3 linked regions of the Oryzias latipes genome follow. The protein of the gene in region 1 purifies or fractionates together with the protein of each later gene. This does not show direct contact. Links are inferred from orthologs where the notes say so. Each region holds a gene or a part of one and is shown on either strand. Other genes may lie near its edges. The genes, in order: rad9a, rfc5 and clspn.

Region 1 (8,261 bases):
GGGGCGACTGGAAAAACTGGACAGATTTAAATTCCGAGTTGGCAACCAGTGTTCAAGAAGAAGAGGAAGACTTCATTTCAGAGGGAAACAAACCACAGAATTTTTTCACAACAACAACAGAGCAAGAGAAACTCAAAACACCAAACCCATCAACTGAGCACGCAGGAGAAAAAGTCATCGTAACACTCACACCTCCATGTGAAGAAGAGGAAAAGATAGAGACAACCAGTCAGAGTCAAGTCCCGCAAGAGCAAAAATATGAACAAATTTCCCAGGAATCTGAATTTGACAAGAAAAACAAGGAAATAGACAAGCCGGAGGCAGATGTTGAGCACATGGCTTCAGTGGAGGACGACCACGCCGAGATTCAGGGGGAAGCGGTGCCAGATCCAAACACAGAGGTGCAGGAAAATGTAGATACCAGTCAGATAAAAACCAATATAAAACAACAAAAAGAGGCAGAAGCTGATAATGTGGAGCAGATACAGGTGGATACAGTCACACAGACATTGGAGACAAAAGACGAGAACGATTTAGACTCAGAAGAATTCAGCAAAGTAAAAGATTCAGCTGCCAAAGACCTGATAAAAGACACACAACAGGAGCAAGAAGAGCTGACAACAAATGAATTGAAACCTGCTCTTGTGGGACAAAACCAGAGTAGTGAGGCATTAGCTGAGATAGAAACAACAGAAACTGTTTCACAAGATGTGATTATAGAGACCTCAGAGGAACCTGACGGGATCCCAAATGAATCAAATTCTGAACTAATAGCAACAGAAAAACAAATAGATTCAGAAAAGGAAGCAGAGAGTGAAGACGACGCACCCAAACCAGCATCACCTGAACAAAGAAAGATCCCTGACCTCACAGATGATGCAGAGACGGATCAAGAGGTTGCAGCTTCACCAAACATAGAAACATTTGTGGCTGAATTTATAAAAGAAATAATAAAAAATGTTGTGGCTGAACTCTCAGAGACACAAAAAGAGGGATGTATTGTTGATCAAATAAATCTAAATGAAACACAAGGAGAAACAACGGAGGACAACGCAAAGTTTGTCGCTTTAATGGAAGGTGATGCAGCGAACCAAACCGCTGAGCCCGAGGACAAGACTCCAGAACAAGAACACACTCCTGACTTGCAAGCAGTGGAACAATTGAACAGCCAGGCCACTTTGAGTGTTGCAGACCGGACGGAGAGCACAGAAAAAGTTGCAGAAAACACAGCAGCAGAGAACAATTTCTTCATGTCTACCCAGGAAACCCACGAATCACCTCCAGGCAGTATTCTACAGACCCAAGACCTAGATCCAGACTCCAGAGAAAACCAGGCTGACTCTGAGAACCGCAGTCTGGAGAAAGGACTTGAGTATCGCCGCAGCAGCAGGTCCTCCAGTGACTTTTGCATGCGCCGGTCGTCTCACTCACAGGGGTCAAGGTTAGCACGCAGACTTTCTGAGGATCTCTTCACCTCCCCAGTGAAAAGCAGCAGACCACAATGCACCACTGATCCCTCAAAACCAGATCCTGGAACAGTAGATGTAGTAAAGACAGATGTAGATGAGACATCCGTGAGACTCCAGGAGAAGCAGCCAGACTATCCTAAAGGTTTCGGCCTTCTGCGCAGACTGAGAGGGGAGAAGCCAAAAAACACCAAAGTAAAAATGCAAGTGCCCAAAATCTTGATTCAAGATTTCAGTGATGAAACGGTGTCAGAGAGACTCATGGACGGAGAGGTGGAGGGAAAAATCAACTCCAGAGAGAGAAGGAGGAGGCGGAGAGAGAACGAAAGAAAGGAAAAAGAGGAGGAGAAGCTCAAGAAGAAAAAGGAGAAGCTGGAAAAAGGGAAGAAGAAAAAAGAGGCGAAAGCAAATAGTTTTCAAGTGAAGACGGAGAACAGTAGCGGCGATGTCGCTCAGCCTGCAAAGACTGGCTCACATGCACTGACTTATGCTGACTCGTATTTCTGACAGGAAACATTTTGAGTTGAACATTAATGAACACGTGAAATCTTTAAAAGTAAATTATCTTTACACATTTACTTGAAAAACATTTATTTGGTGGGATTTGACATCCTGCTTCTGCTTTACATATCAGACATATTGCAAAACCAAAAAAATAAATAAATAAACAGAAGTGCTTCTTTTTCAGTTCTATGTGATCCCAGATCAAATCCAACAAGAACGCTGCTGGCCTCTCAGTAACAAACAGGGTCCATGTAAGCCTCACAGCGGGCGATAAAGGGGAGCAGCACAGTCCAAACTGCCACTTTTTTTTTTTATTGAAGAAGTCCTCAGGTCGTGATGCAGTAGCCTTTTCACATCCCCTCTACCGTCACGTCTACCTGCAACTCCCTTGTCTGTCACCCCGCTTAAGATTCATCCTCACTGTCGCTGGCCAACACCTCCTGAGTCGTCACAGGTTGTGTACTAATCTTGGGGGATGGAGGAAACACGGATCCAAAGAAAAGGGATCGGAACTGTGAGAGGAAAAAAACACGAGACGTTAAAAAATACATCATTTTCTACTACAAAGACAAATAGTTATTTTAAGTTGTTGATTTTTCTGTAAAGGCCTATGGAGAAAAAAATAGATAAACCAGTAAACACCCCCATGCCATGTTTGTATAATTATTATTTGCTTTAATCAACACTCAAAATTAAATAATATGCAGTTAGAACCCTTGATACAACAGGTCACAAGTGTTCTCTTTTTAGTGCCAGAGTATCAAGAGAACTGTTAGGGATTGGAAATAATCTGAGCTGCATGCAGCACAAAACTATGGTAAATCTTGTTGTCAACAGTGGGCTTAAGGAGCTGTTACATGGTGTGTCAGCAGACAGACTGAGCAAATGTAGAGCAGTAATCCCTCTATGGATGTACATGTCAGAATAATCTGTGACATCAGAGTAGATGAAGTCTTTAGCAATTTCTATGTTTTCAAATTTGTTTTTACCTGGTTGGTGTTCCAAACCATGTTTTTGCTGTGTTTGTTGGATTAAACCTGATCTTTAAACCTGGAAACTCAAGTTAAGCTTGTGTGTGCAGTGATTAAAAAAAAAAAAAAAAGTATCTAAACCAAACCTTTTTGTTGGGTGGCCTGTCAGAACCATCCTCCATCTCCTCTTCCTCCTCCTCACTGTGTGTTCTTGTCCTGTGATTGGCTTCAGGGAGTTTTGAGGTACAGGGGTCGGTTAGTGTTGATGCTGATGGGCCAGCAGTCGAGGGTCCTGATGCAACACTGGTGTCCATGGCAATTAGGTAGGAGTCCATGTCATCGTTCATAAAGTCATCAGGAGGAGGTGACGGCGGTGCGTGAGCTCTTAGAGTGGACCAGAAAGTCCAGAATGGAAAAAGAAAAAAAAAGCGCCGTGACTAATTTACTCTGACGTTTCAACGCTTGTAAAGGAATTTTCCCTGAGGCTTTTTACACATTTCCAGACATGCAACTCCTCATATTTCAAATACCTCAAGTCCCATGTCAACCAAGTGATTGCTTAGAATTGTTGATCCACAGGTTGTAAGGAAGACGGATTCTTCATTGAGTATAAAAAAGTCAAATGCTTTTAATCAATCCGTCCTTTTGCTTTAGATCGACTTCATTCTGCTACATCAATGATCCACTCCACTAAAAATTATGTTTTTGGTTTTTTTAACATGTTTTTGTGGCCTTTTTCTAATTACAAAGGACATACATAAACAATAATAATAATAATATTATTATTAATAATATTATTATTAATAGTATTTCTTTAGTCAAATCATTGTAAATCAGGTCGCAGACAAAAAATGCTGCTGGAAAAAGCTTGTAGTTGTGACATAAAAGCTGCAATCAGCGGTTCACAAGCTCCCCGCTCCGTTCCATTTTGATGCATCCACTTGTAGACAAACAGATCCATGATCTGGCTTAGAACTGTGTAGCTGGATAGCTCCAATCTGGCTCGCCATTTTTGTTGCATCTGTAATGTTAGGTTTGTAGTGTGAGGGGCTATAAGCTAGTGGAAGAGTATAGGAGCTCTTTTATACTTGGGGGGGGTCTCGAATTTTAAGTAAGTATTCAGATTACCTGTTTTTCATTGCTCCATTTGCTGCAACTGAAAAGGTTTTTTATAAAAACTACCTGGGGCAAAGGCTAGGGGAAAATATACGACGCTTAAACAGAGCTTTCTTTACCCGCCACATGGTATAGTACATAAATGCTGACAGGCTTACTTAAGTAATTTAAGTTACTAGTGAAATGGCAATGCCAGATTTTATTTTTGACATGCATATTCATCTGAAAATGACTGTCAATATCTGAACTGAAGAGACAAGACATACTTCCAGCTTTTTCTGTGTTTGTGTGTTTACCCTTTGCTTTTGTTTTTAGGAAGGCTGGGGTCGTCTGAAAGTGTAGCCAGCACAAAGTTTCCCTCAAGGACACCGTCTGTCACTGAAAGCACCACGGGACTGATGCACAAAAAAAGCACACATAAATATACAGAGAATGAATTCAGATTACAAACGGCAAGGGTCTGACGATAAACGCGCTCACCTTCCTGGTTCATCAAAGTACATGGAAACAGGAAGATTGCTGGACTCTGCAAACACAAGCAAACCCTGAAAGACAGGTGGCATTAAATATAGAATATGTCTATATCTACAATTGCTTTTGCATGGCTCCCATGATTTACTTGGGAAATTAAAAATCTCACCCGAAACTCCTTCAAACAAAAGGTGACACTGTTAGGAGTCTTGACAACAAAATGGTCAAACTCATCAGAAGCCAGACACAGCTCTGTCAGCATGGCCTTGGACCGCTCTGAGGAAAACGGGAAAATTGAATGAAACACCTGCTGAAAAGAACTCCTTTGGAATTTTGCGTCCGTCAGAAAAAACCTGGTCAAACTACCACAAGAGCCCCCATTGGTTCTAAATCAAACTTCTTTCTTTTTTATCCATCAGCAGAGTGATTTAAACATTTCCAGTTAACAACTATATGCATGTGTTACAGCTGAATTTGTAAATATGAACAGTTTGTATTTTACATTTTTTTGGCAAATATGTCTGTACAGTAATTTGCTGATGTTTTAAATAAGCAACCATTTGTCGCTTCCTCCTGAAAACACCAGTGGTGTTACCTGTTTCATCCTCCACATGGTTTCTCACCCACATCCGCTCATCGCTCACCGTCACAGTCACTTCTTCCAGAGATGGAGGGAAGTGGGCGACTGTATCCACCAGCACCCTACAAAACACAGTTTTCATTAGCAAAACTGCTAAATATTCTCCTTTTTGCTAATAAAAACTGAAGGAAATAGTATCAGTAAAGCCGTTTGACAACAATATTTATATACCTTGGCTGCGCTCTGAACTCATTGGTGCAGGTGTCTTTATCAAACACTGCCTGCAGACTTTCACTGTCCTGGTAAGACAGGTTGTGTGTTTTTAAAAGGCCTATGGAGAAAAAGAAAGTAATAAGAGACGATTAAGATAAATACGATGAATTGATGACTGTTGAGTAACTGGATGGAGTGAAGCACTGTTACCATGTTTGCAGTGCAGGGTGAAGGTGAGGCGGTCTTTCTGCTCATTCAGCTCAATGTGACACTTTTCTACCGTTTTCTCCAGAGTTGCCAAAGATCTGAATACAGACTGTACACTCTGACAAGCACAGAAAAAAACAACAACAAATAAGAGAAAAATAATGAATGCACGTGTGTCTGAACATTTACAAAACAACATATCCTAACTGCTTCTTTTAAAAAAGGGTTAAAGGTTAGACATTGATTTGCAAAGTGATGTTACTATTAGGTGAGCTTTCACACAGCAGTGAGAATAGGCGTATTTGGCCCCTTTTGTTATTATCTACAACTGCCAGAGGAAGGAAGCTAAGAGGTTTGAAACATTTTCACTCAGATAACCACAACATTAAAGTTGCTACATGGCAGCAAAGAGATAACTTGAAATCAAGAAAACGGGTTTTAGCTCAAAAACTTTCACTTCTAAACAGTTAAATCGGATAACAGTCGGTAAGCAATCATACATATTCCTATTCTTAAAATTGAAAAAGAAATAGATTGGGGGAGTTTAGGAGTTTGAAAAAATAATAATAATAGTCGTACAAATGCATCGTATGACAGTCAAGATGTCAAAGAAGGGAAATAAAGGGATTTTTTTTTCTAAAAGGGGACAAAAATATGTTTAATGACTAACCAATAAAAGTAAGCTTGGACTGCCAAACTTAACAGGACGGGTGAAAGCTATAAGTGGCAGATTAAAGCAAATCATATCAATGTCATAAATCTTTCATCTGATCACGTTTATATTAAAAACTTTAATTGCAATCCACCTCTTTATTTTTAGAGCACCTTTCATCAACATGCTTGACATAAAAGTCATATGTAAACATAGGTTAAAAAGTCATAAAAAACAGTAGATTAAAAGCTTAAAAGATAGAAGGGTAAAAACATACTAACGATAACATAAAATACTGAAAAGCCAAATAAATAAATAAGTTAATTATATGAGTTACGCAGTGCTACGTTAGAATGATGCATCTTTAATTTACATTTAAAAATCTCCACGGATGCAGAAAATGTCAGATCTGCAGGTAAGTTACTCCACAGATGAGGAGCACTGTACTGAAAAGAGGCCTCGCTGTGAGTCCTGGTTCAGATTAGAGAGCAGGACCTGAGGATCTGACAGTTCTGGAGGAAGGAGTATGGAGATGTAATTGATGCTAATAACAACTAAATGATTACAAATATTACTAACAAATAATGGTCAAAGTATGTTTTATTGGGAAATGTACTTAATAAAGGACAAAGAAAAGTACTTGGAGTCATCTGATGATGAGCTTTGGGATTTTTCACAAAAAGATAAGCAGATTCACTTTCATTGGTAAACAGCTTGAGAATCCACCTTTATTGCTATCTTGCAGCGGAAGTTTCTCCCGTCGGGAATCGAGTACCTGCACAAAAACACGGGCAGTTGGAAGCTGACTTGCATCACTGACACGATCTGTGATTGATTGAAACGAGAGCGGAGCGTGCACCTGCTGAAGAAGAGTGGTGCGAACAGGAAGCAAGCATATGCCGACCGAGAAGAGTTCACAGACCGCAGCGCCAGCTACAAGAGAGAGATGCATTCAAATCAGCACCATTCGTCGACGCAAACAGGAAGTAAGCAAAATATATACATGATGGTTGGTAGGAGGAAGTGCTGGTGTTTCTGACAGCGTCAAAGCAGCTCACCCCGTCTTCCTGGGGCTCCACGTACAACTCATCACCGATGCGCGACAGAGAATGGATAGCTTTGGCCAACACTATTGAGTGGACGCACGCGCCCAAACAGGTAATAACGACAGCTTTGTTATTATTATCAATGGTAGTAGCACAATTGTGTTTCAGTGACAGAAAAATCCTGGTCTACCTTTCACGTTTCCTCCCGTCACGACACACTGCATTTCTGCAAACGAACTTTCCCCGTCGAGTTAGTCTAAAATGAATCCAAACTAGCAGCTGTGCAACACCATCGAAATAATTAAGGGGGCTTTCGTATGTTGCACGTACAACACAGACGCACTTTCTAAACTTATGCTTAAATGTTAGTGGAATACCAAATGTTTTTTTAGGAGACTGCAAGACAGTTGAGCCAAACCTCACGTTGTTTACGGCGCCACAAGCTGCTTCCGCACAGTTGACCAATCAGAGTTACTGAATTTCGAAGAGGGCGCGGCTACACCCATGCACATGCGCAATAGCTTTGGTGTTTTTACTATGAAATTTCTTTACGTCGACACTCGCAGTATTAAAGGATTCAACCTGTCTTTACAACTTATAAAAATATTATTATTTTTTTATTTAACAGACTCCGAAGCAAAGTATATAATATATTTTTCTGATAGACGGACAGCAACTTAACTGTGTCCACTCCGTCCACCACAGCCACCCACTATCACTCAATATCACTTTCCACTTAACATATTACATCAAATTCGTCTTTTTAGTCTACTTCTGTTGAGGTGCCCACTCCCCCAACACATTACACCTAAGAGCAAAGCAATGTCATTTCAGTCATTTAAACTAAAACAGAGAATTTGGTCCTTTAAAGGCTTTTACCTTATTAAAAAGTGCAGTATGTTTCTTTTGACCCTCTTCAAGCTTTAGGTGGTTACAGGTGATCAAGTTCTTCACCTTCTTTGTCCTCTTACTATGACTAGATTTCTTGAAAGAACTTGTAAAGCTGCAGTCTTTGTTGTAGACTTTGCTTTCTTT
Region 2 (8,044 bases), on another chromosome or scaffold:
AAAAATGCCACAAAAACACAATTTTCAATGGAGTTCATGCAGCATTTTTCAGATTTTTGGCTAAAAACTGCATCATTCTAATTCAAAGACCGCTGGGAACGCTGTGAAAGTAGATCAAAAGATAATTGGAGCGGCTCTTTAAACAGACCTGCTTTTATATTTGTCCCTTCGGGGCTGAATGTCGAACTTGATCGCCCTCCACATCCTGTTGACCTTCCCCTCCGGCGATGACCTTAACTCCACGGCCGTCTCTCCTCACACAGAACCCGAGACGGCCACGTCCGGTTCTGGAGGGCGCCCGTGACCGTCCCCAGCCTGTGCCACCTGTGCCGGTCCGCTCTGCGCTTCTCCGTCTCCACGCAGCAGATCGAGGCGCTGCCCCTCCCCAAGAGGATCGTGGAATACCTCACCTATAAAAACATCCCCGAACGCCTCAGGAACTGCGCCTCCTCCTCTGATGACGAGGAGGAGGACTGGGAGTCTTGAGGAGGAGCGCGCCGCACTCTCATCTCAAAAGGCCTTTATTTTTGGTTTTGGTTTTCTGATGGAAAACTGCCGTATAAAGAAGGAAAATCCGCTCGTGTATTCTACTTTAAATAATCCTGCACTAAGAGTTTCATTTATTGCACTACTACTTTAAGAAGCATTTAGTAAATGTTCTGCTAATTTAGCTTGAATATCACAGTTTTCTATGTCTAATTTATTTTGTAAATATTTGTTTTAACCCTTTGGTGGTCGGAGCGCTTCTGCAGAACCTGCACACCTTAATACTGGATAACAGGAAGGAACAATAATAATTATTAAAATGATTCAATCTCCAAGTTGAAAGATGATGTTTTTCAGGAAGAACAATCTGGCTTTAACCGGCAAGTTGTGTTTATTTTAATGATTTTATGCACCAACAAAAGAAAGAAAAACCGAGGACATTTTTGGGGTCTTTGAAGTATTTAATTCTGCTGAACTTCATGAAGCCTCGCTGACCACCAGGTCCCGGACCTCCTGGAAAGCCCCCACCATGGAGCTCAGCTGGATCTTCTCGTCCGTTCCCGAAGCGAGTCTGTGTCTGAAAGTGAAAAAAGACGCGTCAGCACATTTGTAGCGTTCATGCGGGGGGGGGGGGAGGGGGAGGCGGCGCGGCGGCACTCACTCCACGTCGGCTAACTTCACCAGCAGAGTCATGCGGGTAGCAGGAGGAAAATCCACTTCAGCAGAGGAAGAGGAAAACGTTTCAGAGGAGATGCTTGCTTTAGGATGTAAAACTAAGACGTGAAACTGTGAGGAGGATAAAAAAAAAAAATCCTCCCTCCACGATGGTAATGGGAGTATTTCTGCTGGATTACCTCTGTGAACGAGCAGGTGCAGCTCGGTGAGGATGTCATGAAGAGCCAGACCCTTCAAAGTTTTCAGCTGGAGGATTTCTGGCATCAAAAAGGTTAAAGATTCACACAAAAAAAAGCATTTTAGAAACTTCTTCAGTCAATCCAAGTGAAACGTGACTGAAATGAGTTTTAAAAACTACGTTTCACTGAATCTTCATTATTTGTAAAATATTGTCAAAATGTTTTTTAGACTTCATTTCATGAGCATTTTAATTTGAAAAGCTGATTCTGCCGCGTTCGGATCGCTGTGAAAAAAAACTATACAGTGCTGCACTATGTAGTGCCCTGGATTTTAGACACCCTGCTCACTACTTTTCTTTTTTTAACGGCGGATATGACGTCATCGATTTCACAAAGTGAAAATCTAATTACTATGAGCGTTTTGCGACGAGTATTTACAAGTCTGCTGAAGATAAAAACGTTGATGGTTTATTTAAAAAATACTTTTTTTATGGCAAAAAATGTTCCGACGCAATGCATTGTGGTCTATCGATCTAGTGAGCATTGATGCACACTGGTTTTTCGCAGAGACTTCTGGGAAATTTCCAGGACACTGGATTTGGGAATTGTAGATTCGGACAGCTCTACAAAGGGGAAGGAATTCGGACACGACCATAGTCCGACGTTAAACGTTGGAGGCCAAAAAAGGTTTGGGATCACTGATCTAACGGATGAAAGTCTAGATTTCTAAAAGAGCGGTTCCAGCTCTGTATGTGGGTTTGATGGAAGGATACGTTTGTAAGCCGAGGTGAAGTCTTTGTTGAGGCACCAGTCGAGGATGTTAGCGATGTCCGAGCGGAGCGGCTGTCCCGTGCAGGTGTACACGGAGTCCTCCGTCACCTTCCCGTACGCCATGCTGGTGCTCTGAAAGGACACGAAAAGTCTTTCCTCTCTGCTGGAGAACATCCCGGCAGGAGGAGTGAGGAGGTCCCACCTGCAGGACGTTCAGCGACCTCCTCATGTCGCCGGACGATAAAGTCACGATGGCCTTCATCCCATCCTCGGTGATGTCGATGCTACCAGACAAGATTCAGCTCATTAAAGGCCAAAAGGAAGTTTAAAGAGGAAAATTATTATGATCAGCGCTATGCATTTAAAGCTTATTTTTACAGATAAATCCTGTACTAGACGTCTGCATCTCATGGACGGATCACAACATCTTATTGCCCTAAAACGCAGCAAAAACATGGCACTAGCTTGAGCGGGAGGCGCACAAACACAGTTTGGTAAAGTCTGAAGGATATTTGGACTTCTAGGTTTCAAAATTCTTTTAATTAACATTTGAAACTGACAGCAAGTGTCTCTATTGGTTTGTCTTAACGTAAACGATGACCTTTAAAGAAAAATGCGATGTGTTTTTCAAATACGGAGAATTAAAGAGAGAAACGGCAGTGAAAAGAGCTGCTAAGGGACCGTCTACAAAAAGAAAGCTCTGTGAAAAAGTGATCAGAAGATAATAAACTCTCAAAAACAACACAAATACATAAATGGTTCTGTTTATATAAGTTAAGTCATAAATACTCATCATATTCATGCCTTTTAAAAAAATGGGTATTTCTTTTTCCCAAAGTAAAAAAAAAAAAATCACATCTGATCCAAAAAGCTCTGAAGAGCCAAAGCTACAGTCACCAAACTTTCTCACATGACTAATTATCAACTATTTTTACCAGTTAATAGTTTGTTATTTTTTCTAGTTGATGGTTGCACTATTTGTACTTAATTGTTCACAGAGGTGCTCTTTTTCTGACAAAATAAAGGGGGAATAGAATAAAAACGGGAAAACCTGCATTTGTTTATTCAACTTTTAAAATGTGTTATAAAAGTATTGGAGCGAGACTCGGGTATCAGCATAAAAAAACGTGAAATCGGATCAAAAAAAGAAAAAAAGAAAACTGAGAGATTCTTAATGAAAAGCTTAAAAAGCGATGAATGCGAATGGCAGAAACGAGAATGTAAAGTTTTTCATTCCATTTATAGTCCTAATTTTTCAAAAATCCTTTGAAAGCATCTTTTCATGTCAACATCACAGTCGTTTTTAATGCTTCTGACAGACTCAGAAAGTGAGAGACTTCAGAGGCCGAAAGCGGTCCCGGTTTTCCTCACCTCTCCTCCTGAATGACGTGCCTCAGCCGGGGGATCATCTGGTCCGCCGACAGAGGCCCGAAGCGGAACCTGGTGCACCGGGACTGCAGGGCGGGGATGATCTTGGAAAGGTAGTTGCAGATGAGGCAGAACCGGGTGTTTTCTGTGAACTTCTCAATCACTGAGGCGTACGGGAGACAGCAGGAAGTTTACAAAAATAAAAAGACAGACTGTTACCTGCCAAAACGTTAGTTCAATGGGATAAAGTTACTTAAAATCGTCTTATTTTGAAAATCTGCAAACATCTTAATTCGTTTATGAGATCGTTGACGATAACCTACTTTCAACACCTATGAAAAAAAAAATTTTAATCAACAAAATCAATGCAAAGGATTATTTTAGAAAACGGTTGTGTTTTCATGCAGACCCATGCATCATCAGCCAAATGATTTGGCTGCCCAGTGAGCCGTGTCGCTCACAGCAAGCCATACTTAGGCGAACAGATGGCTCACCTCGCCGCAATGCATTCTGGGCATCCTGGGTCATGGCATCGGCCTCGTCCAGGATCACCAGCTTGAAGCCTTTCCTGGGGATCAAAGGGAGGAAAAAGGAGTTTGGAGTTGTCTGGAGGGAATCTCTGCAGAAGGTCACAGAGAGCTGGAGCGGTACCGACTCACTTGAAGATGGTTCTGGTGCTGGCAAAACTCAGGATGGGACCTCGGACCACATCGATACCCCTGTCGTCTGAAGCATTCAGCTTGAACAGAAGAGAATCAGAATCAGGACCCTTGGAGATGAGAAAATCCCTGCAGACTAAAGATCCTGAGTGGAGACGGTACCTCCAGCACCATGGAGTTGAACTCCTTGTCCTTGTACAGTTGCCGGGCACAGGCCAGAATGGTGGAGGTCTTTCCGGTTCCAGGAGGCCCGTAGAGCAGGAGGTGAGGAAGCCGGTCCTCTCTGACGAACCTCTGGACTGAAGAGACATGGAGACCTTCAGAACTCTGGACACCACAGAGTCGATTTGCTTCCTTAAATGAACAAACTTACTGGTGCTCAGGATGTCTCTGTGTGAAATTAAATCATCGAGTTTTTGTGGTCTATATTTTTCTACCCTGAAATGCAAAACAAACACTTTTAGCACAAAAACAAAGACGTTGTTTAGTAGAATATTTCTTTTTTTCCCTTCTTTTTAAGAAGTGTGTAGGCCTTTAAAAAGCTGAACAAACTTAAAAGAAAACAAAACAAAAAAAAAAAGCACAGCCTCTGACTGGAGACAAACAAGAACTTGAAGGAGCAGCTAGCTTAGTCTTAGACAACAACGACATTCTCGCCGCTTCTCAAACGTCTCGTTCGTCGCGGCTCACCATGGCAGGTTTCTGCTCTGTAACGGGGTCCTACTCGTAGACGCCATGACTCCCGGTAACTTTATTTATTAGCCGGGCAAGTAGAGGAAAAACCCCGTCTGTTCTATGTCGCTTCCTTTTGCCGCGCTCGCGACAGAAACGCACGCCAACGTCATGACGTAACACCAACAGAATGTCGTTTTGCTTTCCGGTGGGTGGGATCATGGTGATATGTTGAAGGTAAACTGTAAAAAAAACCACAATATCAATTGAAGAATTTTAATATTTTCTAAAGTAAAGCTTAAAATTGTTTTTTGTTTATTTTATAAACATTTTTGAGTTGATTATCTTGTAAAATAGAAATCTCTGTGTTAGTTTGATATTTATCCGTAGGCGAAAACATTTTTGACCGATTTTCTTGAACATTTCAGAACGAAAATTAATGTGCTGTGGAAATCAGACTAATTTTAAAGATTTGTATAAGACTTTAAAGCATTTAACAGGAAAAAAACAATATTTAATCCCCTGATGTACATACATTTCTATCTAACTTGTGCAATAAGTATTTCGTAAAATAGGTAAATTAAATTAATAGAAAAATACACAAGTTTCTTAATCTGTTTGGTTTTTAATACGTTTCATTTAGAATATACGCTTTAGACGTTAACTATTTAGCTACCTAACCAGGCGACAACCAAAAACAATAAATAAATAAGTAAAACATGCCCCCCCCCCCCCCATTATTTAATAACTTGGGTGAGTACACACAATAAATGTTTTAAAAAATGTTTTCAAATTTTGTTTAACCTTTTAGTTTAACAGGCACTTCGTTTGCATTTTAGTAAGATTGCTGAATTATGTTTAATTTGATGAAATATCACCCTGAAAAATAAAGATCATTTGTCGCAGATGATGCGTTTCTCGTCCAGCAGACGAGAACCCACTTGAGCGCGCCGTGATCACGCGAGAGCGGCCCCTTACGGCGGCGCTGCGATGCTGTTGCTGTGGCTTTGATTGACGGGAAACATGTCGGTGTGGTGGGAGCGAACCGGGATGCAGCTGCTGCCAAGGGAGACAGGGAGTACCTGCATCCAATCCGCACATCAGCACCTTTAAAACCGCCAGGTTCTACCCGATCCGGCTGTTTAGGATGCGCTGAGCAGCAAATTTGGTTCCTTTCCCCCCCTTTTTTTTCTCCCCCCCCCCCCCTTCCTCAGCATCCATTAGAACGGAAAGGACGCCCGATGGATGCTGTAGCAGACCGCTCAGCCCCGCTCCGCATCCTCACATTGAGTTTGGTCTAGTTTACATCCTTGATCATCCAGCTGGAGCTGCGAGGACTGTTGTTGCAATGGAGGCGACCCTCTCACGGCTCAAAGCCAGAGTCTAAGCCTGCAGCATCTCTTTCCACTGCGCTGTGCTGGTTGCTCTTTTCCGCGGGCTCCTCCACGTTTCTTTCTTGAATTATCCTCTTTTTTTAACCCTCTGTTCTTCTTCTTCTTTTTTTGTCTTGGAAATACAAACTAAGGGGAAAAAATACCATCCAGCGCGCGCTAAACTATGAACGAGGAGATGACAAAAAGCGAGGAGCAGCATCTCAGTTTGCAGAAAGCCTTGCAGCAGTGCGAGTTGGTGCAGAACATGATTGACATAAGCATTTCTAGTTTGGAGGGTTTACGGACCAAATGTGCCACATCCAACGACTTGACACAAAAAGAGATCCGAACGCTGGAGGTAAGCGGCTCCCTGACTCAATTACTGCTCTGCATCCTCAACTAAAGCATCACCCAGGGCTGTCAGTTTTTACAGGCCACTCTGCACGTTTATGCTGTTTTTTTTTTTCCCAGCAGCAAACTACCCTGGTGCTGTCATTGCATCCATATGCAGGGGCTCCAAGCTCCACAGCCTTTCATCCGTGCGCGCGGCTCTGTCTGTGCAGTGCAATAAATCTCGAGGCCACGGGGCTGCAGTGGGCTGCTGGAGACTTGCGCATTCTGCAGGTGGCGGGAAGAGAAGGTGGCTCTCCTCTTCATCAGATATATACGTGAGGCCTGCGCGTGCAGCCCCGTGTTTACAATCCGTTGCCGGTGTGCCATGCCAGCCTGCGCGCGCTCTGGGCTCATCCCAAACCCAGCCGCCGTTACGCAAGGCGACCAGATTATACCGACAAGGTTACAAAACATCCCTATCCTTTAATTGGCCCGTGGGGGTATTCTGTAAATTACGTTATGTAACGGTCACAATAACCCGGTGTTGCGTTTGAGATGGTCCACCTTTAACCGGCCAGCGGACCTGCTTCAGAGTCAGAGCGCCGCACGCAGGAAGAAAGGTCAGCGTGAGTGCTGCGGACGCAGAGCAGCCATAAACACCTGTGAGAATGTGACGACGCTGTCCCAAGAGATTAAAACAAACAGTATTAAGTGCAATAAGAGGCCCATAAAGCCATCTGAGGTTCTGCACGCCTTCAACACACTCTAACCCCCCCCCCCCCCCCCCCAGGGGGATTAACAGAACTGAAAAGCTACATTCGAGACCATAAAGTCACCTGAAAGAGAGAGAGTGCTGCACACATCAACATGCTGCTCTAATGCTTCATGTCTGAGCTCTTCATTGAGGAGACACTTAATCCATAAACATGGAGCACAAACATCAGGCTGGAAAGTGCAAAGCAAACAGGAACGTTGTGAGAATTATATTATGCACTTGCAAAGGTTATAATTTTTTAAAGATGAATGAAGATCAAACATAATGGTGGGGTTGTTACAAATCTAGCTTTCTTTTAAGGCCGTCCCTGATGAAAATTGTGTTTTCTGTGTTTTTCACATGATCTTGTGGCATTTTCTTTCTGATGAAGGAGGACATTTCTTAAAAAAACTAAGATCAAAATAGCATTTCGGAGTATTTCTTTTTTTTTCAAATCATCGTGAATCCGGAGTAGACAAAAAACGGAAAAGGTTTTGGGTTTGTATAACAGCAAGCCTCAAACCCCCTGCTCCGCTCCATCCTGATGCATCCACTTGTAGATGACATGTACATCTTCGTTTTCCTCGTCTGAACTGGCATCTGGCTTAAAACTGCGGCTGGATAGCGCCAATATTTCTCACCATTTTTGTTAAACCCACAATGTCACGTTGGGGTGATGAGGGGCTGTAAGCCAGTGGGAGAGTGTGTAAACAAAGGGATGATGGGAAACGCAGCACTCTTGTCCTTCACTAAATCATATTTATTTTCTGATAA
Region 3 (8,085 bases), on another chromosome or scaffold:
GAAGGTAGCGTTCTTTCAGGGCCGCTACGCCTGTGGGGGGTTGGCGGCCATGAGCAAAACGGAGGGGCAGGTCAAAGATGCAGCGGAATCAAACTCACCTGGGTTGAGTTGGGGGGGCTCCAGCTGAACGAAAGCGCCCTCGTCCGCGCACAGCTTTGCCACAGGCGGGGGGTCCAGGCCCAGCTCCTTCAGTCTTTTCAGCTTCCTGGTTTTGACGAGCAGAGGAGCAGGAGGCTCCGCCTCCTCTTGCTGCTGGACCTCAGAGCCCGACTCTGCAGCAGTTCTGGTTTCCTCTGGAGGCGGGGCCAGGCTTCCCCGCTCGCAGTCAGAAACAGGTTTCTCCGTTGCGTCTGACTCCTGCAGACTCTCCGACAGATAAAGCATCGGGCCCGATTCCAGCTCCGGATCAGAACCTCCAGAAGCTCCGTCTGGCCCACAGAGACTCTCTCCGTGGGCTCTCTCTCTCTCTTGCTGCGGGGACGAGGTCGCTGAGGGCACAGGCAAAGACTCAATCTGATTGGTTGAGGGCTCCAGGGAAGCAGGGGTTTCCTGCTCTGTAGTTGGTTGGCTGGACTCCTTCACGGGAGGAGCGTCGGGCGGCGTCTCCAACATCATCTGAGAGTATTTTGAAGATCTGATGGGAGAAAGATGAAATATTGTTTTCAGAGCAAAGATCTTTGATTTGTTCGCAGGTTCAACTCCAGGGTTGGAGAGAAACTCAGCGCGACTTCCTAGTGCCTTTACATGAAGGGGCTTTTATTTTGAAAAAGCAAACCAACTTCCTGCCTTTTTTGCACTGCAATTCTTCTGCTCAACGACTTAAACGCCTATATCTCAGAGTCAAACTCCCAAACAGAACAAACTACGTTTGTCGTGGGGAGGGTCTTACTTGAGCAGTGCCATTGCGGGACCCTGGGGGCGGGCTTTTCTCCTGTAGAAGTCGTGGATGCTTTTGGGCTCTGGGATGTGGTATGGCAGACCCAAAGAGGACTCTGTGGGGGCAGGAGGGGATGTTAGCTCAGGTGGAGCGGGTGGGGGCGCCGCAGATGGGCGGAGGAGCGCTCACCTCGGATCAGGCGCTGCGACTCGCTGTGCAGCTGCTTCATGGCCTCTCGGCTCGCCCTCGCCGCCTTCCTCTCCTGTGGACAGGAGAACAACAAGTTGATCACATGACTGACACTTCCCTGGCTTGGGGGGAGACTCTGGCTCCGCCTACCGCGCGGTGGGGCTTCTCCGCTGCCTCGTCATCGTCATCCCCCTCACTTAGAAGGCGTTCCTAAAGAAACAGAACCTTTGAGCAAGGCTTCATCGTGGAGCCCCAGCAGACGGCTGACTCGGATATTTATCTTAACCTCCTGCTTTTTCATCTTCTGCTTGACTGCAGCTCGGATGGCGTCCAAAGATTCCTCCTCCTCCTCTTCTTCGTCGTTTAGCCCTGTGTCGAACAGGTCCGTGTCGCCCAACGGACACCCGCTGTCGTTCAGCGATCGCGGCAAAGCACCACCCTAACGAGACAAGACGGGTTTTTACCTCACCATCTCTCTGTTCCGATCCGTTTGAGCAAGCAGAACTTACCTCATTTTCATCGCCAAACCTCCTCCTCTTCAGCTTCTCCACCGCGTTACTTCGCCTCTCCTGTTTCTCACGCCGCCTCCGGCTCTTCTCTCTGTTCTTCGCCTCTGCCTGCTGCGACTCCTCCCTTCCATCCGACTCGCCGTCCTCGCTGTCGGTGAGCCGGTGGGCAACTCTCCTCTGCGCTCCTTTCCTGCTGCTCTGCTCCTCCTCGCCGCTGGATAGCTGCTGAGCTTCTGCCACAGGGAAGCCGTTTTCTGCCGCTTCCTCCTCCTCGCTGTCACTGTCTCTGATGGCGACACGGCGAGGCTTTCTGTGAGCCGTGATGTCATCATCAGAGTCTGCAAAAACAACAACAAAAAAGAGAATCTGTAAAAAAAATAAACATGAACCGAGAATGAAGACTTAATCCTGAAGAAGGTGTTCACATTAGACACAGAACCTCAGGGCTCTATTCTCGGCCCTTTCCTGTTTTGTCTTTATCTGCCTCCAACAGGAGGAGGAGGAGGAGGAGGTTGTGGAGGAGCAGTCATGAGTCTGGTTTGTAAAACAGTGCAGCTTTTTTTCTTTTTTAACATAAATAATAATTTGCGACAAAGCTTCATGTAAAATTCATTTTTTTATGTTTTATCTAAAAACTGTTTTTTTTAGAGTTTCCTCGTGTTTCTCTAGGCATCCCGTATCAGAGTGACCCAGAGAAGCACTGCACGTTTTTCCAACATCCCGATCATTCTAGATCAGTGGTTCCCAGCGAATGCGGGCCGGTACTGGTTCGTGGGACAGTTAGTACAAAGAGAGACAAAAACACATAGAATTTGATTCTGAGGGAAGTTTTATTTAAATATGCATGTCAAGGTGGATTTTTGTTTATTATTTTATTTAGAAAATGCCAGTTTTAGTGAGTGTTTTCTTCTTCTTTTTTTATCCGTCGCACCAAAGTTTTTTTTTAACATTTCTGAGTTGAGGGAAAATCTAATTCACATTTTAATGGTTCATTCATCTTCTAAATCTGTTTATTCCCTTTCGGGGTCACGGGGCTGCGGGAGCCTATCCCGACCGCTCGTGGACGAAGGCTTGGGACATCCTGAACAGGTCGCCAGTCTGTCGCAGGGCCACAAATCTCAGACCCATGCACTCTCACATTCACACCTATGGACAATTTAGAGTAACCAATAACCTGTGAAGCATGTTTTTGGACGGTGGGAGGAAGCCGGAGAAAACCCACGCATGCACGGGGAGAACATGCAGCCAGTTTACACAAAATGTAGAGAACAAATAATGTTTTAACAGTTGCTGATGTTTTACATAGGATGAAGATAAGAGAAACGGAATCTGACCGGTCCATGAGAATTTTCACTATCAGTCTGCAAGATCTTCCAAGAATATTCTAAAACAGAATCATGGGGGGTGGAGCCTTCCTGGTTAAGCTAACAGATCAGCGCAAAGTAGCTTTTCTCCGCCTCAGAACCTGTTGGACTTATGTTAACTGTGTGAATGGTTGATGAGTTCCAGTAGTTTGAAGAATGGCCAAACCGATGAGCTATGAATAATCTCTAAAGCTACGTTTACACCGCGCGTTCAAGCGGCCACTTCCGATAAAAGGCTATGGAAACGCGCAAAAAACATGCTGTTCAGGCTTCTAGGTTCGGATCTCTAGCGTTCACGTGTAGCTACACAAGATTACAAGTTTTCGGGCTCTACATATGAAATTCACATCCATTGAACGTGCTCTAAAATATAAAACCAGGTCAAACCTTGACCAATCGGGGGCTCTGATTTGGTAGTGACACACGGATGGCCTCCCTTCTCATTTAAGTGCCAGCTAGGGCTGCGCGATATGAGGAAAACTCGCGATATGCGATATTGGTGGTTAATATTGCGATAACGATATAATTTGCGGTATATAAACAAATAGCAAAACAACCAAAAACATCATTTCCATTTCACTGCAACAGTTTAAAAATCATACTCCAAATGACCCTTGTCGACATAGGAGGCAAACATCAAACATAAAAGGGCTCATCTGATTGATCAACAACGTTAACGGGTCCTTCCGATTGGTTAAACGCATAAATGGATTTATTTGACTCATTAAATACTTCAAGCTGCCGTGAGTTTGTTTTAGCACATTTAAGGTAACCATTTATTGTGATTTTCGCCGTCTTTTGCTGTATGCATATTGCACAGCTTGATGTCCCGATAACGATAAATTTGCGGTATATTGTGCAGGCCTAGTGCCCGCCATTTGAAAATGGGTCGTGGAGGATAAATGATTAATTGCGGTTTGTTTCCGGACAGAATTACATGAGACCAAGTCTTTCATATATCGGAATAGAGATGTGGGGGGGAAAAAAGGCAGATTTATGAGATCTGCACCACTTCAACATTTCGCACCAAGCCTCTTCCAACTGTAGTTGAAGAACCCCTTCCTGCCTGTCCAGTGTGGGTTAATGCACGTAGCTGGGATGAACGTTTTCCTCACATGTGCATGAATATAAATGCTACTGTTGCATTCACTGACTTATTTTATACGTTTCACAACAGATCATCCATGTTGTAGAAGAAAAACTGAAGTTACGCTGCAGATGTGAGGCCAGGCTAGAACAGATGATAAGGGTGCGTTTAAAGATTAAAGATACACAGGACCTCTAGAAAAAAACTAATCCTTTGTTTTTTTGTTAGCAACATAACCAAACAGCACAGACAGAGTGAAGGCAAGTGATGTCCTCGTTCTGCTTCAGTACCTGGGGGGTCGTCCGTCCTCCTTTCCGTCTTTGCCTCCCCTTCATCTGCCGGAGAACCCATCCCGCTGTCCGAGTCGCTCTCCGGAGCAGCTGCTGCTGGCTCCTCTGCCTGCAAAGGAGACGAGAGCCGCAGCTGTGACAGCGTGCACGTGCCTGACGCACCTTAACTACATCCTGTGGATGGTGCGTTCACGGTCCGAGCAGCGGTCGGTTACACTCTGTTCCCAAAATGTAATAACCCCCCCATTAATCTTTTTTTTATGTTCTTTGACCAAAATTGAATATTTAAAACGTAAACTACAAGCATAAACAATCAAGTGTTTTGTGTGACAGAGAACAGACGAATTCTTCACAAAAAAAGTAGATGGCGCCCCTAGCAAAACAACAATGAAACGGCCGCGAACTGTTGCAAACTAGACTTTAACAACTTAAAACAGGATTTATACTAATATTTAAAACCTCAAAAGCCTGAAAATGTTTGCTTTAAATCCTTACAACTGTCCAGCAGGTTGAAATAATCATTTATTTTGAATTAATCAACTGAAACAGTACTCAAACCACCCGACAGCTAAGCTAGCCAAGCCAACTAGCGCGCTTGATGCTAAGGCTAAGAAAAGAAGCGAATAATTTAAAATATTCATACTAATCTATTAGTAACGTTTATATGGTTAGTCTATAAACACCACTACTGTCAATAATCAGGTAACTAACACAAGGATTTGTTGATTTTAACTTCCTCACTTGTTGTTGGGACAGAACCAGGCTCATCTTTGTCTCCGGTCAGTCAGTGTCTGAGTCTCTGCCTCCTCTCACCGAAAAAAACCTGCTCGGACTCGGCTGCTTCGATCTGCTACGCGCGTTACAGACGCGGGATAAAAGCAGTTCCGAGCAACAACCACTATTTTAATCTTTCAGGGAACATTCACAACCACAGACGGTGTCTCCGTTCTTCTCCTCCCGCTTGTTCCAACAACCAACACGAAGGTTTGAGCTTTCGCGCGCCGTGACAGCTGGTTCGCTTGGGTTTTATCGCGAGGTGTCAATCTGTCCTTTCTCGTGTTGTGATTGGTGGGTTTGGGACAGTTGGATCCAACCACTATGACGTAATCATTCAAGAGTTTGTATGTTTTATACACCGCGTATGGGTACAAAGGCGGAGCTTGGCGCTTTTTCCTGTAATTTACGCTTTAAATTTACATTGAAAAAAATAAAAATAAAACATTCAGTCTGCGGTATCACTGCAAACATATATATTCATACAGCACGCTTGAAAACAACCTCATTTGACCAAAGTACTTTGGTTACTAGAATGACACGACTAACAAACAAACAACACTTTCGTCTTAAAGCTTCCCCAATACAAGAGAGACTCTCAAAATAAGGTTCTACATTTTAAAACTGTTTAAACAAATAGATTTAATCTGAATTCTACAAGTGAAATAACATAAACAGAATTAAAAAGTTTAGTTGAATTAAGACAAAATAATCCAATGCAAAAAAGCCAGGATATACTATAGGATACATACATGCTTGTTTGATTTTATTATATTACAATGTTATCTTTACTACTTTTCCCTTCCTTACTGTTCTTGCACTGATGGTGATGCTTAAATCTCATTGTACTATGCACAATGACAATAAAGCCAGTTTATTCTATTCTATTCTTCTATTCATAACTATTGATTGTGTTTCATAAACTCCAATCAGTCTTGGCTTTCTTCTCACAATATAATGTTTTTAAAAAAACGTAAATAAATTAAACCGTGGGCTACACGGCGGTGCAGTGCTTTGTGCTCTCTCCTCACAGCGAAAAGGCCCTGGTTCAAATTCCAGCTGAGAGCTTCTTGTATGGAGTTTACAAGTCCTCCCTGGTCATGTGTGGTTTTTTTTTCCAGGCTCTCTGGCCTCCTCCCACACTTCAACATATGTTGATTGGTTACTTTAAATTGTCCCTAGTTGTGAGTGCGTCTCTGGAAGTGATTGTGTGGCCCTGCAACAGACTGGCGACCTGTCTGGGATGTACCCTACCTTTGCCCGACAGTAGCCAGGACAACCCCATGACCCTAGAAGGAATTTAGCGGGTTAAGAAAATGGATGAAAGTTACTACAGTTTAATGTTCTCTGGTTTTTAACCAGAGTAGTGAACTTTTGTCTAATATTGCATTCACACCGGATGCAGTTTGAGTATCAGTTTCACGTCTGGTGCCCCTCTTTTGACCCCCTTCAAATTTACTGCTTGACGCCTTGACACCCTTCTTTGATTTTTGAACACCCCATTGCTCTTTCAATGTTTGTATAACGTAAGACATAAACATTTTAATCTTAATTATAAAACTATTTTGAAAATGTGAAAACACAAAAAACCTAGCTCCTACTACAATCAGACAGTGGGGGGTCGAAGGGGGGTTTAAGGGCAGGGATGCCAGTTTAGCTTAGTCAGATTGTTAGTTCATTTTAGTATTTTCCTATTGAATTCTATGTATTCATGATCCTTTTGACTTTATGTTTCACTTTTTCAATTACCGATACGAAGCCCATCGAGACGACTGTTGTTGTGAATTTGGGCTATATCAATAAAATTGAATTGAATTGGGGCAAAAAAGTATTTATTCAGTCACCAGTTGTGCAAAATCTTCCACTTAAAAAGACGAGAGAGGCCTGTAATTTTCATCATAGGTCTACCTCAACTATGACAGACTAAATGAGAAAAAGAAAATCAGGAAAAATCACACTGTCTGATTTCTAAAGAATTTATTTTTAAAATATGGTGGAAAGTAAGTATTTGGTCACCTAAAAACGATTTCTGTCTGTCACAGACCTGTAACTTCTTCTGTAAGAAGATCCTCTGTCCTCCACTCATTCTGTATTATTGGCATCTGTATGAACTGGTTATATGTACAAAAGACACCTGTCCACAACCACAAACAGTCACACTCCAAATCCACTAAGACCAAGACCAAAGAGCTGTCTAAGGACACCACTGGCACCTTCACTTTCCATGCTTTCTCCAGTTCTTCTCAGAGTCCTTGGCATTTCTCCAGTTTCTCATGTTCCTTATTCCTGATGTTCCCATCACATATACTATACATATACTGCCACATCCATATATATGTACATATATGAGATTTTTTACAAGGTAAGCTTACATTCTCGTGTTTGAAATATAAGAACTCCTTCATTAATGTATATTTTAAGATTTTTTATCTCAAAGAATTAAACCAGTCCAATTTATTTAAGAAAAACATTGAAATGCACCAAAACTGTGACCGACTTGCATCTATTTCAAATTGAAGGTACGCGACAGCAAATTACGCATGCGCAGTGCGCGTCCCACGTCTTCTGAGAAGCGCAGGCGCAGATACAAATCCCCACAAGCAGTCGCGGCAGCTCCAGTCAGAGTACAGTCCGCCGCGCGTCCATTTATATTTCCGTTTTTTAGATTAGCCCCTTTAAGCTTCGCAATACCGCCCCCAATTTCAGCGTCGGTACGGAGCCGCCAGGCCGGGACAGAGACGGAGAGAGAGGCCTCGGCCATGGAAGCACTCGGACCCGGTAAGAAATGTCAGAAAAACAGAAGCGGCGAGGAGTGGAGGCGCTAGCCGTGTTTGGGGCGCGTGAGCACGGACGCGCGGACTCACTGGGGGCCGAGGCCGGAGCGAGGCCTCAGCAAGCTTGCGGGGGGAAACAAACCGAGGCCCAGCCCGTCGCAGTCGGACCGTGGAGCTCCACCGACCGATCGAGCGGGGGTCGGTGGGTGTTTTCGCCAGAG

What was found.
Region 2: the proteins of rad9a (region 1) and rfc5 purify together in Homo sapiens (affinity purification with mass spectrometry; 3 studies listed by BioGRID and IntAct, with this or other methods). This does not show direct contact. The link is inferred for Oryzias latipes from reciprocal best matches to the Homo sapiens genes RAD9A and RFC5.
Region 3: the proteins of rad9a (region 1) and clspn purify together in Homo sapiens (affinity purification with western blotting; 3 studies listed by BioGRID and IntAct, with this or other methods). This does not show direct contact. The link is inferred for Oryzias latipes from reciprocal best matches to the Homo sapiens genes RAD9A and CLSPN.

What each region holds. Positions count from the first base shown.
Region 1 is NC_019868.2:13,967,547-13,975,807, forward strand, and holds the end of rad9a (cell cycle checkpoint control protein RAD9A), read right to left. Parts: 5' UTR 7,451-8,261; coding exon 7,417-7,450; intron 7,339-7,416; exon of another isoform or gene 7,310-7,338; coding exon 7,239-7,309; exon of another isoform or gene 7,120-7,238; intron 7,114-7,119; coding exon 7,040-7,113; intron 6,956-7,039; coding exon 6,907-6,955; intron 5,647-6,906; coding exon 5,532-5,646; intron 5,440-5,531; coding exon 5,340-5,439; intron 5,231-5,339; coding exon 5,124-5,230; intron 4,805-5,123; coding exon 4,698-4,804; intron 4,603-4,697; coding exon 4,538-4,602; intron 4,453-4,537; coding exon 4,354-4,452; intron 3,326-4,353; coding exon 3,088-3,325; intron 3,073-3,087; exon of another isoform or gene 2,483-3,072; coding exon 2,375-2,482; 3' UTR 2,041-2,374; downstream 1-2,040. Other genes in the region: ecotropic viral integration site 5 ortholog, read left to right, coding at 1-1,973. UniProt on the Homo sapiens protein: Component of the 9-1-1 cell-cycle checkpoint response complex that plays a major role in DNA repair. The 9-1-1 complex is recruited to DNA lesion upon damage by the RAD17-replication factor C (RFC) clamp loader complex.
Region 2 is NC_019867.2:3,440,473-3,448,516, reverse strand, and holds rfc5 (replication factor C subunit 5), read right to left. Parts: upstream 5,017-8,044; 5' UTR 4,876-5,016; coding exon 4,829-4,875; intron 4,577-4,828; coding exon 4,512-4,576; intron 4,438-4,511; coding exon 4,301-4,437; intron 4,219-4,300; coding exon 4,139-4,218; intron 4,048-4,138; coding exon 3,974-4,047; intron 3,643-3,973; coding exon 3,483-3,642; intron 2,396-3,482; coding exon 2,314-2,395; intron 2,244-2,313; coding exon 2,114-2,243; intron 1,419-2,113; coding exon 1,148-1,418; intron 1,064-1,147; coding exon 964-1,063; 3' UTR 927-963; downstream 1-926. Other genes in the region: wsb2 (WD repeat and SOCS box-containing protein 2), read left to right, coding at 264-486; ksr2 (kinase suppressor of Ras 2), read left to right, coding at 6,368-6,541. UniProt on the Homo sapiens protein: Subunit of the replication factor C (RFC) complex which acts during elongation of primed DNA templates by DNA polymerases delta and epsilon, and is necessary for ATP-dependent loading of proliferating cell nuclear antigen (PCNA) onto primed DNA.
Region 3 is NC_019869.2:20,040,395-20,048,479, forward strand, and holds the start of clspn (claspin), read right to left. Parts: upstream 5,355-8,085; 5' UTR 5,085-5,354; coding exon 5,058-5,084; intron 4,426-5,057; coding exon 4,317-4,425; intron 1,914-4,316; coding exon 1,576-1,913; intron 1,506-1,575; coding exon 1,353-1,505; intron 1,277-1,352; coding exon 1,217-1,276; intron 1,140-1,216; coding exon 1,067-1,139; intron 993-1,066; coding exon 890-992; intron 635-889; coding exon 99-634; intron 31-98; coding exon 1-30. Other genes in the region: protein argonaute-4, read left to right, coding at 7,850-7,868.